2 linked regions of the Stegostoma tigrinum genome follow. The protein of the gene in region 2 binds, or shares a complex with, the protein of the main gene of each other region. Links are inferred from orthologs where the notes say so. Each region holds a gene or a part of one and is shown on either strand. Other genes may lie near its edges.

Evidence for each region.
Region 1: the proteins of oprm1 (region 2) and pomca are in contact, whole or in part, in a cryo-EM structure (PDB 8F7Q), measured with the Homo sapiens proteins. The link is inferred for Stegostoma tigrinum from reciprocal best matches to the Homo sapiens genes OPRM1 and POMC. Residues at the interface, in NP_000905.3 of Homo sapiens: Ser66, Met67, Ala70, Ile71, Met74, Gln126, Asn129, Tyr130, Leu131, Met132, Gly133, Trp135, Val145, Ile146, Asp149, Tyr150, Met153, Arg213, Ile217, Asp218, Cys219, Thr220, Glu231, Lys235, Val238, Ile298, Val302, Lys305, Trp320, Ile324; in NP_000930.1 of Homo sapiens: Tyr237, Gly238, Gly239, Phe240, Met241, Thr242, Ser243, Glu244, Lys245, Thr248, Pro249, Leu250, Val251, Leu253.

Annotation. Positions count from the first base shown.
Region 1 is NC_081362.1:98,311,100-98,320,947, forward strand, and holds the start of pomca (proopiomelanocortin a), read right to left. Parts: upstream 4,769-9,848; 5' UTR 4,693-4,768; intron 4,510-4,692; coding exon of another isoform or gene 4,395-4,509; intron 103-4,394; 5' UTR 76-102; coding exon 1-75. Other genes in the region: fibrinogen-like protein 1, read left to right, coding at 4,395-4,509, 5,203-5,304.
Region 2 is NC_081362.1:94,688,540-94,698,511, reverse strand, and holds the start of oprm1 (mu-type opioid receptor), read right to left. Parts: upstream 4,680-9,972; 5' UTR 4,429-4,679; coding exon 4,154-4,428; intron 1-4,153. UniProt on the Homo sapiens protein: Receptor for endogenous opioids such as beta-endorphin and endomorphin. Receptor for natural and synthetic opioids including morphine, heroin, DAMGO, fentanyl, etorphine, buprenorphin and methadone.

The sequences.
Region 1 (9,848 bases), about 3.6 Mb from region 2:
CCCCAGCTGGCCAGAGGTGAGAGTCCACACCATGCTGAACATAACCAGGATGCTTCTCCATGCCGACTGCTGCATGGTAGTCAGGCTTCAGGATCAGACACTCTTTCCAGCAAAGAAAAGAGAAAACTACATCAGTCAGAAACCCTTCCCCAGTACTCTGTGAGTCTCTATTTGTGTTACAGACCCATCCTGTGTACCAAGTTCAGTTCAGCCACTTGGAAGATACTCAACTATGATAGGCAGATCAGAGAGAATTCCTGATGGTCAGAGCCTGAGTTATGGGAACTGGCAGTTAGCTCATTTGGTTATGAGTGTACTAAGGAATGACTCTTACTACATAGATTCAAATCCTGCATTGACTGAGGTAACTTTTGGGGCCTACATTCTTGCCTTACCCAATAGTGACATAACAGCATGAACCATGTGTAATAAGCCTCTGTAAATCGCAAAGGCGGAGAAACCCCTGTCCTGGTCAACCACTGCAGCTGCCACCAGATTTTGTGGAGTCCTCTCACCTCTGGAATCACTTAAAAGCAGCCCACGTCCTTCATTCACTTTGATTAAATATCCTTCACGAAATTGAAAGGGCATGATCTTTAAAATCCCTGACAGCTTAGACATTCCCATGGCAAGGAGTCTAGTATGGCTAGAGAAAGAGGGTTGGACTTTTCACCCTGAAGTTGGCCATGTGAAGGTGAACATGATGTTAAAAGCCCAACCTCAGCTAGATAGTAATTTTATTAAAAGTAAGTAGCAGAAAAAGACTAATCAAAGTGGAATAAACTTCCAGAGGGAGTGAATGCAAATACTCTAGGTCGTTGAAATGCATCTTTGATTTCTCTAGTTGCGGTGGTGTTCCAGGGTCTCTGGATAGATTAATGGCCTTTCTGACCTGTAATTATCATGATCTCATTGATCTCCAGCTTTCCTTCTCTCTTGCTTTCTCCAACTCTCTATATTTCTCTCTGCCCAGCTCCCTCAGTTTCTCTCTCTCTCTTGTATCTGCTTTGATCACCTCCTCTGGCAGCGTATTCCAGGCACTCACCACCCTTTGCATGAAAAACCTGCGTCACACATCTCTTTTAAACTTTCCTCTGCCCACACCTTGAACCTGTGTCCCCAAGTAATTGACCCCTCCACCCTCATACTTCCCACTCGATTCATGCCATTCACAATCTTATAAACTTCTATCAGGCCACCCCGCAACCTCCTGCATTCTGTGAAAACAAACCCAATCTATCCAACCTTTCTTTTGAGCTAAAATCCATCATACCATGCAACATTTTGGTAAACCTTTTCAGTGCTCTCTCAGAAGCATCCACATCCTCTAGTAGTGTGGTGACCAGAATGGACACAATATTCTAAGTGTGATCGAACTAAAGTTTTATAAAGCTACAGCATAACTTGCCGATCCTTATAGTCAATGCCCCTTCTATTGAAGACCATCATGCCATAAGCGTTTTTTTTTTACTGCCTTATCTACCTGGACTGTCACCTTCAGTGATCTGTTAACATGCACACCCGGATCTCCCTGCAATTCAATACTCTGAAGGGTTCTGCCATTCACTGTATAATTTCCATCTGTAACTTGACCTTCCAAAATGCATCACGTCACATTTACCGGAATTAAACTCCATCTGCCAATGTTTTGACCATGCATCTAACTGATCTATATTCTGCTGCATCTTCTGACAGTCCTCCTCATTATCCACAACTCCACCAATCTTCGTATCCTCTGCAAATGTATTGATTAGACCAATTACGTTTTCTTCCAAATCATCTACGTAGACCATGAACAGCAGAGGTGCCAGCACTGATCTCTGTGGGACACCACTAGTCACAACCCTCCATTCTGAAAAGAATCCTTGCACCACTATCTCCGTCTTCTATGGCTAAGTCAGTTCTGTATCCATCTTGCCAGCTCACCCTAATACCATGTGACTTCATGTTTTGTACCCACTGCCATGACGGACCTTGTCAAAGGCTTCAGTGAAGTCCATGTAGACAGCATCAACCACTTTCCCTCATGATTGTTTAAAATTGGGGTTTGGAAAAAAGAATACAGGCATGGACTATTTTCTAGATGGTGAGAAAATTCATAAAGCAGAAGTACAAAGGGATGTGGGGACTATTTTCTAAATGATGAGAAAATTCATAAAGCAGAAGTACAGAGGGATGTGGGAGTGTTGGTCCAGGACTGTCTAAAGGTTAACTTGCAGGTAGAGTCTGTGATTAAGAAAGCGAATGTAATGTTGTCGTTTATCTCAAGAGGGTTGGAATATAAAGGCAGTGATGTGCTTCTGAGGCTTTAGTTAGGCCCCATTTAGAATACTGTGTCCAATTCTGGGCCCCACACCTCAGGAAAGACATACTAGCCCTGGAGCGTGTCCAGCGGAGATTCACACGGATGATCCCTGGAATGGTAGGTTTAACGTATAATGAACGGCTAAGGATCCTGGGCTTGTACTCATTAGAGTTTAGAAGGTTGAGGGGAGATCTAATAGAAACTTACAAGATAATGTATGGTTTAGAAGGGGTGGACGCTGGGAAGTTGTTTCCGTTAGGCGGGGAGACTAGGACCCGTGGTTATGTTTCAGTTGCACAAGGCATTGATGAGACTGCATTTGGAGAACTATGTATAGTAATGGTCATCATACTTACACAAAGATGTTAATGTGTTGGAAGCAGTTCAGCAAAGGTTTTCTAGAACAATAGCTGCAATGAGCAGAATGCCTTATAAAGAAATGTTAGACAGGCTATGCCAGCATCCACTGGAGTTTAGAAGAGCCAGGGGTGACATAATTGGAATGAAAATAGAAATAGCTGGAGAAACTCAGCAAATCTGGTATCATGTATAAAGAGTTCACATTTCAAGTTTGGTGACCCATCTTAAAAACATCTAAGCAAATTTAAGGAGGAAACGAACAGATTTGTAACTAGTAACAAATGTAAGAGCTGTGGGAAGTAAGCAGGAAAGTGGAGTTGCAGCTGTGACGAAATCAGCCATGATCATATTAAATGGTGGAGTCGGTTCAAGGGGCCAAGTGGCCTACTTTCATTCCTTGTTCAAGTGTTCATATATATTTTCGTTTACTATGACTTTTTTGGGGTTTTCAGATTACAAAATTGGTCTTTCTCTCATTTAAGACAGCTTTGTAATTGGCTCTTTACTGACACAGTAAAAATTTTCTGAATTTAAATTAGAAACTGGTGTAGTCTTGTCTTAAAATAAACTTACACCTTTGCTGCAGCTAACCAACAATTCACAAGTATGTGATGGTGGGTCAGGTGAGATTCCAGTTTATTCCAGTGTTGAAGGAAATAAGAGAAGAAAGGAACAACCACTGGACACAGTATCCCACTGGAGAGCCTGTCTCCTGTGCCTCGGACTGTTTGTGTCAGGACTTGAACCGTATAATCTCTGACCAAATGGCAGGAATGCTACAGAGTGTGGACAGCAGAGAAAACTGGACATCACCCGCAGGATCTGGATTGTAGGAAAGATTGAACACAAGTCTCAGAGTGTAGAGTTTATAAGAGACGAGACGGTATGTGCAGGGGTGGAATGTAGGACAGACTACACACCAGGCCACAGTGTACGAAATGTATGATGAAACTGGACAGAAGGCTGCAGGGTGTGGAGTGTCGGCAAGGCTGGACAGCAGGCTGTGGGGTGCAGAGTGTAGGAGAGACTGTACAGCGGGCTGTGAATTATAGCATGTAGGAGAGAGTGGACAGCGGGCTGTAAGGTGTAGAGTGTCGGAGAGACTGCACGAGGGGCTGTGGGGTGCAGAGTGTAGGAGAGACTGGACGCCGGTCTGTGGGGCGTAACGCGTAGGAGAGACTGGACAGTGCTCTGTGGGGTGTAGAGTGTAGGAAAGTCTGGACAATGGGCTGTGAGGAGTAGAGTGTAGGAGAGACTGGACAGCGGGCTGTGGTGTGCAGAGTGTAGGGAAGACTGTACAGCAGGCAGTGAATTATAGAGTGTAGGAGAGACTGGACAGCAGGCTGTAGGGTGTAGAGCGTAGGAGAGACTGAACAGGGGTTGTGGAGTGTAGAGTGTAGGAGAGGCTGGACAGTGAGTTGTGGGGTGCTGAGTGTAGGAGAGACTGGAAACCAGTCTGTGGAGTGTAGAGTGTAGGAGAGCCTGGACACTAATCTGTGGGGTGTAGAGTGTGGGAGAGACTGGACAGCAGTCTGTGGGGTGTAGAGTCTAGCAGAAATTGGACACTAATCTGTGGGGTATACAGTGGAGCAGAGACTGGACAGCAGGCTGTGAATTGTACACTGTAGGAGAGACTGGACAGTGGGCTGTGACTTGTGGAGTGTAGAAGAGACTGTAGAGCGGGCTATGGGATATCGAGTGTAGGAGAGACCGGACAGTCGGCTGTTGCATGTTGAATCCACTGGAGATTAGACAGCAGGCGTCAGGCTTTGGAGTGTGCCAGAGACTGGACAGCAGGTTGAAGCATGTGGAGCATATTGGAGATTGGACAGCAGGCTGGTACAGTGAGTGGGATGCAGTCCTGGAATATCTGAAAAATCTTACAATAGTCCAGGATTTACGCAGTAAACGCTGAATAATAAAATTCCTACAAAAATATCGTCGACTTAAGCTAGTTGTTATTAAACGAGTAACTTGTTTCTACCCCATTTATTAACAATTGCATGCTAAGTCCAGAATTCCCTTACCTGTTCTTGTTGCAAAGACACTTCTCGTGGAAGCTCTGTTTCTGTATCTGCTTTGACTGCAACTCTCTGCCTTTTTATACCATTCTTCCTATTTGTACTTCAATCAAACACGTCATCACGATTAAATCAACCTTTTCAAGGACAATAATTGTAGGAAATCTGAAACTGCCAGCACTCCAAAGGAATCAGAGCTTTTAACAGACGTCGCATGTGTAAATAGAACCATTTCCACTGGTTACACAGTGAGGAGGATTAGCACGTCTCCCCACAGGAAATTTCACGGCATCCTCTCAAAATCTAACACCTTTCAAAAACTTCATTGGCCACTGATGACACCGTTTTTAATTTCCAAACCTTTCCTCTCAATGAAACGCTGATTTTAAGCTTCAGTGTGCATTTACACAGCAACGTTTCAATAGATCAACATCAAATTAAATGGACAATTAGAGGCAGTGTGAACACAAGCTCACATCTCCTGTCTTTTTGTGTATGATTTTCTCCGGTGACAAGGCAACAGGCCACCTGCCCTCCTCACTTACTGGAACGAAATTCTTTTCCATATCACAATAGTCTGTAAAGGTCAGAAAACAACTCACACCAAGAAAGAAAAAGGTAATGGGGAGAACAGGGCTATGCAACCACATTGACAGAGGAGTTCGGAAGGTTGTGGGACCAGAAAGGGGACAGTGGGATTGGGGTGATGGTGGGTGGGGGGAGAAGTTTAGAAGGCTTTGCAACTAGGGTGACTGGAGGAATATGGGTCTTTGGGACCAGAGTGACAGAGAGAACAGGACAACATGGAGAAAGTGGACAGTGGGACCAGGGTTATGGGGAGATCAGGAGCCTTTAGCATTAGTGTGACTGGGGAATATGGAGCTCAGGGACCAGAGTGACTGGGAAACTTTGGGTTGTGAGATCCTGTATCTGATGGGAACAAAGATGACCACAGGAGTTCACCAGTGAATTGTTTTAGAGGCTTTACTCTGTCCTTTCCTGCTAGCCTTCAGTGTACAAGAACGAAAAATCTGTGTTTAGGTGTCTGTCCCAGGTCCATTCAGAAGATGCTGGTCAGTGATTTTGAACTGGCTAACTTGATTTTTTTTTGTATCACATTGAGGGCTTGCTTAAACTCGAGCCCCTTGTTGACTTGGAACATTTTCCCTTTCTCTTCTCTTTCCTTTCTCCCTAAAACCCGAGAATGGGTACAAGCTGGGACTTAGGCAGAGGAGATATAGCTGAAGCCAGAGTGAGCCTACTGACAGGAACAAACCTGGCAGATCAGGTTGTGTGCTACAAGGCTACATCTGTGAGTCTTCAAGAGTGTAAGTGCTTGACTGTTCAGCTGTTTAGAAGAGAGGCACTCAAGCCTCCTGTATATTCAATCAATCTTGCTTTTCTTGAATCTCATTTCATTAAATATAACACTGAACTGAAAACACTGAAAACCTTGAGAAATGAGTCAGGTAGATATTTGTCCATCAGCAGAGGAAACAATCCATGAGTCTAATTTCCTCCTTAGGATACTCTGAAAGCTGCCCCATCTGTGTGTACCTTGCACTAATGTTGAAAAAAGGAAAAGAGCCTTTTAAGTGTTTTTTTTAATAATACGCTGTAAAGTGCGCAAGTTGAAGAACGCATTAGGATGAAGCTGTACACATCTGGGGCCTGATCTTACTCGATTCCACTCAGACCCATTAGAGCTGTGTGGGTGGATAAAGAAAGTCAAAGTGTACATAATGACCTCTCTAATTTGTTGCTGGAGGGTAGGAGGAGATGGGCCCAACTTGCACAGCCTGGCAGTGATGTTCATTAGTGTCAGCTTTTGGTGGCCCATCTCGTCACTTGTATACAACCATCACCAGACATCAGGAGTCTGGATGAGAGTCTCCCAACAACCATAAAACATTAACAACTATATAAATATGTCAGTTTCTAAATACATAGTCAAGCCTTTGTTGAATGGTTGAAGATCATAATCTGATCAAGCACAGTCAGTGTGACTTCATGAAGGTGAAATTGTGTCTTACTAATTTATTGGAGTTTTTCAAGGAAACCTCAAGCAGTATTGATAAGATCATAAGATGTAGGAGTTGAATTAGGTCATTCAGCCCATGGGGTTTGTTCCACCATTAGATTATGGCTAATATGTTTCTTAATTCTATTCTTTCGCTTACTGCCCATAACCTTTGGTCCCCTGACAAATCAAAAATATATCTATCTCTGTCTTAAAGGTAATGGCCTAGTGGTATTATCGCTGGACTATTAATCCAGTGACCCAGATAGTGTTCTCAAGACCCAGGCTCAATACCTGCCACAGCAGATGGTGAATTTGAATTCAATAAAATATCTGGAATTAAGAGCCTAATGATGACCGTGAATACATTGTCAATTGTCAAAAGCCCACCTGGTTCACTAATATCCTTTAGGGAAGGAAACTGCCATCCATACCTGGCCTGGCCTATATGTGACTCCATACCCACAGCAACGTGGTTGACTCTGAACTATTCCCTAGGCAATTAAGGATGGGCAAAAATGCTTCCTGGCTAGTGATGCAATCATCAGGTGAATGAATAAAGAAGGAAAAAAACTCAATAACTTGGCCTCCACAGCCTTCTGCAACAATGAGTTCTACAGATTCTCCACCTTTTGGCTGAAGAAATTTCGCCTCATCGCGGTTCTAAAGGGTCATCCCTTCACTCTGAGGCTGTGTCCTTGCCCTGGCCACTCCTCCTAGTGGAAATATCTATTCCACATCCACTATATCCTGGCCCCAAAGGTTTCTGTAAGTTATAAGGAGATTCCCCACTCATCCTTCAAAACTCCAGCAAGTAGATACTGATATTTCTCTAACCGCTCCTTTTTTGATTCATTTGTGGAATGTGAGTGTCACTGTCTGGGCTAGAATTTTTTGCCTGTCCCTAGTTGCCTTTGAGAAGGTGGTAATGAGTTGCCTTCTTGAACTGCTACAGTCCACCTGATGTGGGTTGACTCACAATGCTATTAGGGAGAGAATTCCAGGATTTCCAGTGAAGGATCAGCAACATATTTCCAAGTCAGGATGGTGAGTGACTGCGGGAAACTTGTAAGTGATGGTGGTTCTATGTATCTGCCACCCTAGTCCTTCAAGATGGAAGAGGTTGTGGGTTTGGGAGGTGCTGTCTGAGGATGTTTGGTGAGTTTCTGTACTGCATCTTATGGGTATTGCACATTGCTATTACTGAGCATCAGTGGTGGAGGGAGTGGATGTAGTGGCAATCAAGCAGGTTGCTTCGTTCTGGATGTTGTTAAGCTTCTTGAGTGTTGTTGCGGCTGCCCTCATCCAGGCAAATTGACCTTATTCCATCACACTCCTGACTTGTGCCTTGTAGGTGGTTTGGTGAATCAGGAGGTGAGTTACTCGTGGCAGTAGTCCCAGCCTCTGACCTGCTCTTGTAGTCACTGTGTTTATATGGCAAGACCAGTTGAGTTTCTGGTCAGAGGTAACCCCCAAGATGTTATAGTTGGGTCTTCAGTGATGGTAACGCCATTGAATGTCCAGGAGCCGTGGTTAGATTGTTGTCTGTTGGAGATGGTCATTGCCTGGTATTTGTGTGGCGCCAATGTTACTTGCCACTTGTCAGCCCAAGCCTGGATATTGTTCGGATCTTGATGCATGTGTACATGGACTGCTTCAGTATTAGAGGACTCATAAGTAGTGCTCAACATTATGCAATCTCATTGAACATCCCCCCTTCTGACCTTATCATGGAAGGAAGGTCATTGATGAAGCAGCTGAAGATAGGTGGACCTAGGACTATCATAGAACATAACAGCACAGTACAGGCCCTTCGGCCCTCGATGTTGTGCCGACCTGTCATACCGATCTGAAGCCCATCTAACCTACACTATTCCATGTACGTCCATATGCTCATCCAATGACGACTTAAATGTACCTAGAGTTGGCGAATCTACAACCATTGCAGGCAAAGCGTTCCATTCCCTTACTATTCTCTGAGTAAAGAAACTACCTCTAACACCTGTCCAATATCTTTCACCCCTCAATTTAAAGCTATGCCCCCTCGTGCTCGCCATCACAGAGAACATAGAACATTACAGCACAGTACAGGCCCTTCGGCCCTCGATGTTGTGCCAACCTGTCATACCAATCTCAAGCCCATCTAACCTACACTATTTCATGTACGTCCATATGCTTGTCCAATGACGACTTAAATGTACCTGAAGTTGGCGAATCTACTACCGTTGCAGGCAAAGCGTTCCATTCCTTTACTACTCTCTGAGTAAAAAAACTACCTCTGACATCTGTCCTATATCTTTCGCCCCTCAATTTAAAGCTATGCCCCCTCGTGCTCGCTGTCACCATCCTAGGAAAAAGGCTCTTCCTATCCACCCTATCTAACCCCCTGATTATTTTATATGTTTCAATTAAGTCACCTCTCAGCCTTCTACTCTCTAATGAAAACAGCCTCAAGTCCCTCAGCCTTTCCTCGTAAGACCTTCCCTCCATACCAGGCAACATCCTAGTAAATCTCCTCTGCACCCTTTCCAAAGCTTCCACATCCTTCTTATAACGTGGTGACCAGAACTGTACGCAATACTCCAAGTGTGGCCACACCAGAGTTTTGTACAGCTGCAGCATAACCTCTTGGTTCCGGAACTCGATCCCTCTATTAATAAAAGCTAAAGCACTGTACGCCTCCTTAACAGCCTTGTCAACCTGGGTGGCAACTTTCAAGGATCTGTGTATATGGACACCGAGATCTCTCTGCTCATCTACACTACTAAGAATCTTACCATTAGCCCAGTACTTTGCCTTCCGGTTACTCCTACCAAAGTGCATCACCTCACACTTGTCTGCATTAAACTCCATTTGCCACCTCTCAGCCCAGCTCTGCAGCTTATCTATGTCTCTCTGCAACTTACAGCATCCTTCGTCACTATCCACAACTCCACCGAACTTAGTGTTGTCTGCAAATTTACTTCATCCTTCTACGCCCTCATCCAGGTCATTTCTAAAAATGACAAACAGCAGTGGACCCAACACCGACCCTCGTGGTACACCACTAGTAACTGGTCTCCAGGATGAACATTTCCCATCAACTACCACCCTCTGTCTTCTTTCAGCAAGCCAATTTCCGATCCAAACTGCTATATCTCCC
Region 2 (9,972 bases):
CAGGCCAGGCAGCACCAGAGGAGCAGGAAAGCTGATGTTTTGGGTCAGGACCCTTCTTCAGAAATGACGAAGAGGGGAAGGGAGCTCTGAAATAGAGAGGGGGGTGGGGCTGGGCAAGGTAGGTGGGATGCTGATGCGTGAGTGCAGGTAGCCAATGGTGGTGCTTGGTCAGTGAGATGGGAAGAGTGGATAGTTGGGAGAGAAGACAGACAGGTCAAGGAGGTGGGGATGAGAGGATTCAAGAAAACCTTCCACATCAGACAGATGTTCACCTGCACACCCGCTAATGTGGTTTATCTGTTGCTCCGATGTGGCCTCCTTTGCATTGGTGAGACCAAGCGGAGGCTTGGAGAATCACGTTGGAGCACCTGAGCTCAGTTTGTGACAAATGACAACACCTTCCAGCCACGAACCAGTTCAACTCCCCCTCCCAACCCTTGTATGACATGTCCACCCTGGGCTTCCTCCAGTGTCACAACGATGTCACCCGGAAACTGGAGGAGCAGCACCTCATATTCCACTTTGGGAGCCTACAGTCTAATGGTCTCAATGCGGGCCTTACTAGTTTCAAAATCTCCCCACCTCTGGCCTCATCCCACGACCAAACCTCCCTCTCATCCCTGTCCGTTTTCTCTCCCACCTATCTGCTCCTCCCACCTCACTGATCAATCCCCACCACTGCCCACTTGCACTCACCTATCACCATCCCACCTGCCTTCCCCAGACCCACCACTGCTTTCCCTATTTATTTCAGAGCTCCCTTCCCCCTCCCCCATTTCTGAAGAAGGGGCTGGACCTGAAGCTTCAGCTTTCCTGTTCTTCTGATCCTGCCTGGCCTGCTGAGATCCCCCAGCTCCACGCTGTGTTATCTTTGACTCCAGCATCAGCAGTTCTTACAATCTCTCAATCAGATAATCTGTTTTTGATTGTGACATTGATTGATGGATAGATAGATATTGATCAGATCACTGAGATCATCTTTCCCATTGTACCTGCTTGAAAAAGTGTCATGACTTATTTTGTTACATATGGGAGCAGATGGAAGGGTTTGGGTAATGCCTCCATTTGACATCTCATTGAAAAGACAGATTCCTTCACTGGTTAACCTGCAATTTTCCCTGGGAATGTTTGCTAGGACAAAACAATAAAGTTCCTTCTACACTACCCTTTCAAACAGAGATTCAGCATCCTGCAGTTCAAGTCAATCAATTGTCATTGATTGCAAGGTAAAGTTAGAGAGCAAGGAAATGTCTTGTGAAAAGAATAATGGCACCAAGGAGCCTAGGAAAATTAGAGTCAATGGGTAACAAAGGGCAAACTTTCTGCAGGTTGAAGTCATACCAGCACATAGGTACTGACTGTGGTTGTTGCAGGGCAGCCATTTCAGATCCAGGACATCGCAACAGGAGTTCCTCAGGGTACTGTCCTAGGCCCTTCCATCTTCAGCTGCTTCACTAATGATCTATTCTCCATCATAAAGTTAGAAGAGGAGATGTGCAATCATTGGTGAACCTGTTGCGATTCCTCAGATACTGAAGCAGTTCATGTCCAAATGCAACAGGATCTAGACAATGTCTAGGTTTGGGCCGACAAGTGGCAAGTAACATTAATGCCATACAAATGCCAGCTAATTCCCAATAAGAGACAATGTAACTACCGTCCCTTCACATTTAATGGTGTGACCTTACAATCAACATCTTTGGCATTAACATTGAACTCAACTGGACTCACCACATAAACACAATGGTTACAAGATCAGATCAGATACTAGGAATCCTACAATTAATAACTCACCTCCTGACTCCCCAAAGCCTGTTCACCATCGACAAGGCACAAATCAGGAGTGTGATGGAATGCTTCCCATTTGCCTGGATGAATGCAGCCCCAACAACACTCAAGAAACTTGACACCATCCAGGAAGCACAACGAGGTCTAGGTGTTCTTGTACATCAGTCAATGAAAGCAAGCATGCAGGTGCAGCAGGTAGTGAAGAAAGCTAATGGCATGCTGGCCTTCATAACAAGGGGAATTGAGTATAGGAGCAAAGAGGTCCTTCTGCAGCTGTACAGGGCCCTGGTGAGACCGCACCTGGAGTATTGTGTGCAGTTTTGGTCTCCCAATTTGAGGAAGGACATTCTTGCTATTGATGGAGTGCAGCGTAGGTTCACAAGGTCAATTCCCGGAATGGCGGGACTATCATATGTTGAAAGATTGGAGCGACTGGGCTTGTATACCCTTGAGTTTAGAAGGATGAGAGGGGATCTGATTGAGACGTATAAGATTATTAAGGGATTGGACACTGTGGAGGCAGGAAGCATGTTTCCGCTGATGGGTGAGTCCAGGACCAGAGGACACAGTTTAAAAATAAGGGTTAGGCCATTTAGAACAGAGTTGAGGAAAAACTTCTTCACCCAGAGAGTGGTGGATATATGAAATGCTCTGCCCCAGAAGGCAGTGGAGGCCAACTCTCTGGATATTTTCAAGAAAGAGATGGATAGAGGTCTTAAAGATAGTGGGATCAAGGGTTATGGGGATAAGGCATGAACAGGGTACTGATTGTGGATGATCAGCCATGATCATAATGAATGGTGGTGCTGGCTTGAAGGGCTGAATGGCCTACTCCAGCACCTATTGTCTATTGTCTATTGCTTGATTGGCATGACATCCACAAACATCCACGCCCCTCCCCTCTGATGCTCAGAAGCAGAAATGTGTACTATCGACAAGATACAGTGCAGAAATTCACCAAAAATGGTCAGACAGCACACTCCAACCTCATAACCACTTTCATCTAGAAGGACATAGGAACATCACCACCTACAAGTTCCTTCTAAGCCATGTACCATCCTGACTTGGAAATATATTGCTGTTTCTTAACTGTCACTAGTTCAAAATTCTGGAATTCCTTCCCTAAGGGTTTTGTGGGTCTATCTACAGCACATGGACAGCATTGTTTCAAGAAGGCAGGTCACTACCACCTTCTCAAGGGCAACTAGGGATGGGCAATAAATGTTGGCTGGCCCAGCTATATCCACATCCCATGAGTGAATTAAAAAAAAGGATATTGAGTGGTGGGTGGGTTTGGATGGTTATTAAATTGTAATAGAGCTATTATTACTCGAGAATAGGAAAAGAGAACAAGAACCTTTTTTGCAGCACCTTTCGGTGTGAACAAGTCATACGAACCTCAAACTATTCACTCGGATCCTCTCTCTACGGATGTGCTGCCAGATTTGCTGAGTTTTTCTGGCATTCTCTGTTGTTGTCTCAGATTGAAATATCGAGTCATTCAAATTTGCTGATAGCCTGAGACTGTGTCATCTTCCTTCGGCTCTTGATGACCTGGTCTGCAGACTGGGGTGGAGTTGGATGCCACGCCGGTGTTAGAATGCAGTTGGTTGAAAGGAGGAAGCATGTGTGATTTTCTCTATCAGTATGTCACGATGTCAATTTTGTCCTTCCCTCAGGGATAGCACTAGAGTTTCACCAGTGAATATGGATGGGGTTGGGGAGAGGTGTTGGTGAGAGGAGAGTGGAGGAGTTGTAATTAGGTTTTGAGGAGCGCTTAAAGGTAGTTCCTATTGAAAACGTGAGAAAGGAGTTTATAAAGAAGTAAAAATGTACGTTGAGGATTGACTGCACGATTTGAAACGAGGGTCCATCTGAGGGTTCTTTAGACGCTGCATTCCCACACTTACCGGTTAGATGGCGCTGTTTGAGCAACTAAGACAAGTGGCAAACCCATCCCGCCCCACAGATATCTATTAAATACAGCTATTAATCCATAAACATTCAATCAGTCCACAGATACGCAGTTATTAACGTGAAATTCACGCAATTCATCTCTACGAAATTGAACTGTGCCGAACCTCTCAAATCCATGCATCAACATTGAATGTGCAGTAGTTCGTAAGGTTATGCACATTGGCTTATATGTAAACAAGAACATTGTACTGAAGTTAGACGCCAATACTACCAATCAATGAAGTGAGGCGAGTGAGAGATGGTACTCTAGTCAAAATCCATTGATGCTGACAGAGGTTTCGCGAGAGAGCCAGAGAGAGAGAGAGAGACAGACAGACGGAAAGACACACAGATAGAGAGGCAGCGAGAGGGGAAGGACGGATGTCTTGGAGTTGAGACTGTACGTTACCTGACAATCACATACATGACCAGGACGTTGCCCACCAGTCCCAGCACACAGACAATGGAGTAAAGAGCAGTGATGATGATGGCGATGATGATTGAAGCCGAACTCTTGCTCAGAGGGACGTTCTCGGTGCCGTTACACGGGTTCGAGCTCGAGTTGATGCAGAGATATGACCAGTTGGCTGAGCCCAGGCTGGAATTCATGGTGGTCAGGCTAGTCTGGCAGAGCTGGGACCCGTTGGCAGCTAGATCAATGCAGGGCTGGGCGAGTAGCTCCATTGCAATGTTTTTCTTTTGTTTTTAGCAGAACGTAAGGGATTTTTTTCAAATTAAAAAAAGGAGCACTGTTGATTCAAAACTTCAGCAGATCCTCAGATGTGATAAGTGCGACGCACCTCCTGGTCAGTGCAATGCTCTGGGTGAATTGAGCTCACTCAGGGCAGCAGTAGCGAGAAGCTCAGCGTTCCTCACGTTATATGCGAAGGGAACACTGTTGGTGCCTGGGCATCCAGGCTGTCTGTGGCACTGGTTGATCCATCTCCACCTCGTCTGATTTTTTTTTATTCTGGACGTGATTCGCCGCTTTATTGGAGGGGGCTGACGTCAACCCCTCCCCATTCCCCTCGCCTGTGATTGGAGTGTCGGAGCCAGCACCTGGCCGCAGTATCAGTTAAAGGTATCAACTGAGCACCGGAGCGGGCTCTGCGCTGTCCATGGTGCTGAAACAACGCCGGCTGCAATGCAACGGGGGCTAGGAGTCCGAACAACCGGGAAGTTACTGGATGGGGTTTAAGGACACAGAACAGAGAGAGAGAGGCGTTAAACTAAAGCGTCCTCAGCAATAGCTCTGTCCCATGACGCTTGAGAAGTCAGCCCTTGATACAGTGAGATGAAATTCATCCAGGAGGGAGCTGGGGATTCAATGGAATTGAAGACATTGGAATGGATTTTCAGTTGAAGGTGATGCACAGTTGGGTGATTGGAAAAGGGTTTATTATGTTAAACAGACAGTTTCTGCCACAGTCACAAATACGGTCATTTCATCATGACACGTGGGTTATTGTGCTTTGTGGCTGGTCCTTGGCCCTGTGGCTTCCTTCCGTTGACATTTACAAGGAAATTTTCATATAAATAATCAAGCAGTTGACTGCCATATTCATTAAGTGCCACTTATGTGAATCCTTAGAATGTGTGGAGATTACTGTTTTGAGAAGAGAACAGTTCACAATCATTCATTGCTGTACACTGTGCACCCCAAACCTTCCTGAACAGATAGGTGCAGGATCTGTAACTTGCAGGTCATTAAACAACTATGTAAGATAAATGCAAAGGATTTGACACTTTGGAGGATGCAAACCATCTGAGTTAAAAGAAAATTAATGGAAGACTGGCATTTCTATAGCATCTTTCAGGGATTCAGGACATCCCAAAGCATTTCATAATCAAGGAAGTTTTTTTAAAATTTGTAGTCACTATTAGAATGAAGGAACCAAGGCAGTCAATTTATGTATAACATGGTCTCACAAGCATCTTGAAATAACCATAGATTATTTATATTCGCCTGTTTTTTTGCATGTTATACCTGAAAAGCAGAACTTTGGTAGTTCAGCACTGCCTGTGTCAAATTAGGTCATGTGCTCAAGGCCAGCAGTTTGAAATCTGAACTAAACAACCTTCTGACGCAGACATAACAACATTATCCACCAAATCATTGATAACACAGGGTGATGGGTTATCTACCCTTCCACCTCCCCCCAAACTCAGTGACATGCCTATTTTCTTCCTACATGTTCAGCAACCTGCTATGGACTACCCACATTTCTTAGTTCCCTCTTAGATTTGAAAGCTTTGCTTTCTCTGTTGTAGATGTCTGCCTGGCAAAGTTTCATTGAGATTGTTAAAGGCATCTTTGACTTCCTCAGGCAACCTCAGTGACATGCATCATCCAAAAGGCTGCAACAAAATTCTCCTTCTTGATCTCAGATAGTTCTGAAGACTGAGAATGAGTCATTCTATGCGGGGAGAGAGGAAGATAGCTTTGCTAAGACATGGAACTAATTTAATCTCATTCAAGTGGTGCTTGCCATTGAGAACAGGTAGAGAATTCTGAAAGACATCTGCTACCTTCTATCACATACTTGATTTCTTTGAAACAGAGTGATTGGCAACTTATTGTGTAGAGATTTGTTCCATTCAACTTTGTCATTCTACTCTCTTTTTGATGTTGAAGATAATTGAAAAAGGAACCAGAGGGGAAATGATCATATTTTCTTTTATGTAGTGAGTTGTTGTGATCTGGAATGGACTATTCTGAAAGGGCAGCGAAAGTGGATTTAGTTATAATGTTTAACAACAAATTATGAGCAGATGGCTGAGGTGTGAGTGGGGGAGCACTTTGGGACCAGTGATCATAGTTCTATTAGTTTTAAGATAATGATGGAAAAGGATAGACTGGATCTTAAGTTTAAAGTTCTAAATTGGAAGAAGGCTAGTTTTGATGGCATTAGGCAAGAACTTTCAGAAGTTAATAGGGGACAGATATTCCCAAGTAAAGGGATGGTTGAAAAATGGGAAGACTTCAAAAATGAGATACCAGGTGTCCAGAGACAGTATGTTACTGTTTGGGTGAAGGGCAAGGTCAGTAGGTGTAAGGAATGCTGGATGATTAGAGAAATTGAAATTTTGGTCAAGATAAAGAAGGAAGCATATGTCAGGTATCGATTGCAGGGATTAAGTAAATCCAGTAGAAGTATACTTAAGAGGAAAATCAGAAAGCCAAAAGGGGGACATGAGGTAGCTTTTGACAAATAGAGTTAAGGAGAATCAAAAGGGATTCTACAAATACATTAAGGCAAAAGAGTCACCAGCAAATGAATAGGGCCCTTAAAGATCAGCAAGGCTGCCTAAGGGTAGAACCACAGGAGATAGATCAGACACTAAACAAGTATTTTGCATCAGTGTTTATGGTGGAGAAGACTATGGAAGCTAAAGAACTTCGAGAAATAAAGAACAACTTCTTGAAAAATGACCATATTACAGAGGAGGGGGTGCTGGACACCTGAAAATGCATAAAAGTGGATAAATCCCTGGGGCCTGATCCAGTGTATCCTAGAACTCTGTGGGAAGCTCAGGAAGTGATTGCTGGGCCCCTTGCTGAGATATTTCTGTCATCAATAACCACAAGTGAGGTGCTGGAAGACTGGAGTTTGGCTAATCTGTTGCTCTTATTCAAAAAGGTGGGAAGGAAAAGCCAGGATCTATAGCCCACTGAGCCTGACATCAGTGGTGAGCAAGTTGTTGGAGAGGATTCTGGTAGACAGGGCTTATATGTATTTGGAAAGGCAAGGACTGATTAGGGATTGTCAGCATGGATTTGTGCATGGGAAGTCATGTCTCACTAACTTGATTGAGTTTTATGAAGAAGTAACAAAGAGCATTGATGAAGGCAGAGCATTGGACATGATCTATATGGACTTCAGTAAGGCATTCAACAAGGTTCTGTGAGTAGACTGTTTAGGGAGGTTAGATCTCACAGAAAACAAGGAAGACTAGACATTTGGGCATAGAATTGATTCGAAGGTGGGAGACAGAGGGACGTGGTGGAGGGTTACCTTTCAGACTGGAGGCCTGTGACCAGCGGTGTGCCAGGAGGATTGCTGCTCAATTCACTACTTTTCATCATTTATACAAATGATTTGGATGTGATCATCAGGGGTACGGTTAGTAAATTGGAAGATGATGCCAAAATTAGAGGTGTGGTGGACAGGGAAGAACATTACCTCAGAGAAAAATGGGATGGTGATCAGAAGAGCCAATGACCCAAGGAGTGGCTGATGGTGCTTAATTCAGATAAATGTAAGGTGCTGCATTTTAGACAGGCAAATGAGGGCAGGACTAATACACTTAATGGTAAGACCCTGGGGAGTGTTGTTGAACAAAGTCCTTGGAGTGCAGGTTCATAGTTCCTTGAAAGTGGAGTCGCAGATAGACAGGATAGTGAAGAAGTTCTTTGGTGTGCTTGCCTTTACTGGTCAGTGCATTGAGTACAGGAATTGGGAAGTCATAGATAATGGGAACTGCAGATGCTGGAGAATCCGAGATAACAAAGTGTGGAGCTGGATGAACACAGCAGGCCAAGCAGCGTCTTAGGAGCTCAAAAACTGATGTTCTGGGCCTAGACCCTTCATCAGAAAAGGTTTCTTCAGAGGCAGGAGGGTAACTTCTTCAGGTTAGGCCTGAAACATAAGCTTTTGTTCTCCTAAGATGCTACTTGGCCTGCTGTGTTCATCCAGATCTACACTTCGTTATCTCTTAATTGGGAAGTCATGTTGTGACTGTACCAGACGTTGGTTCAGCCGCTTTTGGAAAACTGTGTTCAGTTCAGGTCTTTCTGCTATGGGAAGGATGTTGTGAGACTTGAAAGTGCTCAGAAAGATTTTCAAGGATATTGCCAGAGTTGGAGAGTTTGAGCTATAGAGAAAGACTGAATAATCTGGGGCTATTTTCCATGGTGCGTCGGAGGCTGAGGGATGACCCGATAGAGGTTTATAAAATCATGAGGGGCATAAATAGGATGAGTAGACAAGGACTTCTTCTCGGGGTGAGGGACCCCAAAACGAGAGGGCATAAGTTTAAGCTTTAAACGAGATCAAAGAGCAACTTTTTCGTGCAAAGGGTGGTGTATATATGGAATGAGCTGTCAGAGGAAGTGGTGGAGGCTAGCACAATTACAGCATTTAAAAGGCATTTGGAAGGGTATATGAATGGGAAGGCTTTGGAGGGATATAGATCAAATGCTGACAAATAGAAGTAGATTAATTTCGGATATCTAATCAGCATTGACAAATTGGACTGATGGATCTGTTTCTATACTGTACAGCTCCATTACTCTACATTTATATAGCAAATTGTATCAAAATGAAATGATCACAAGGTGCTTTAGAAGAGGATTACAAAGTAACATTTGATACCAACTCAACTACAAAGATACGAGGACAAATGATCAAAATATGGATCAAAGCAATAAACATTAAGAGGCATTTTAAAGCAGATTGCACCTGAAGAGGAGATGGTGAGTGTCTTCTTGAACTGCTGTAGCTCCTTTGATGTAGGTAGAGCCACAGTGCTATTAGGGAATGATTTTGAGACAGTGATACTGAATGGTGATATATTTCCAAGTCAGGATGGTGACAGACTTGAAGTGGGAGCTGTACGTATTGTCTAAGGAAGCTTAGTGAAGTTCTGACATATATCATTGCAGGCCATACACACTGCTACTGAGGTTCAGTGATGAAAGGAGTGATTATTTGTGGATGTGGTACCAATCAAGTGGGCTGTTTTGTCCTGGATGGTGTCAATCTTCTTGAGTGTTGGTGGAGCTTATCTCACCAGGCAAGTGAGGAACATTCCATCATACACCTGGCTTACGCCTTGCAGATGGTGGGCAGGCTTTGGGGAATCAGGAGGTGAGTTGGTCTCTATCTTGCTCTTACAAACACTGTATTTGAATTGCTGGTTCAGTTCAGTTTCTGATCAATTGTTAGAACCTAGATGTTGGTCATGAGGAATTCAGAGGTGATAATATCATTGAATGTATACAGATAGTTGTTAGGCTTTCTCCTGTTGGAGATGGTCATTATCTGGCATTTGAGAGATGTGACTGTTACTTGCCACTTGTCAGCCTAAACCTGGATTCTGTCCAGTTCTTGCAGCATTTGGATGTGGACTGCTTCTATTTCTGATGAGTAATAAGTGGTGCTTTATGGTGTGCAATCTTTTCAACGAACATTCCCGCTATGACCTTATGACAGAGGGAATGCCCTT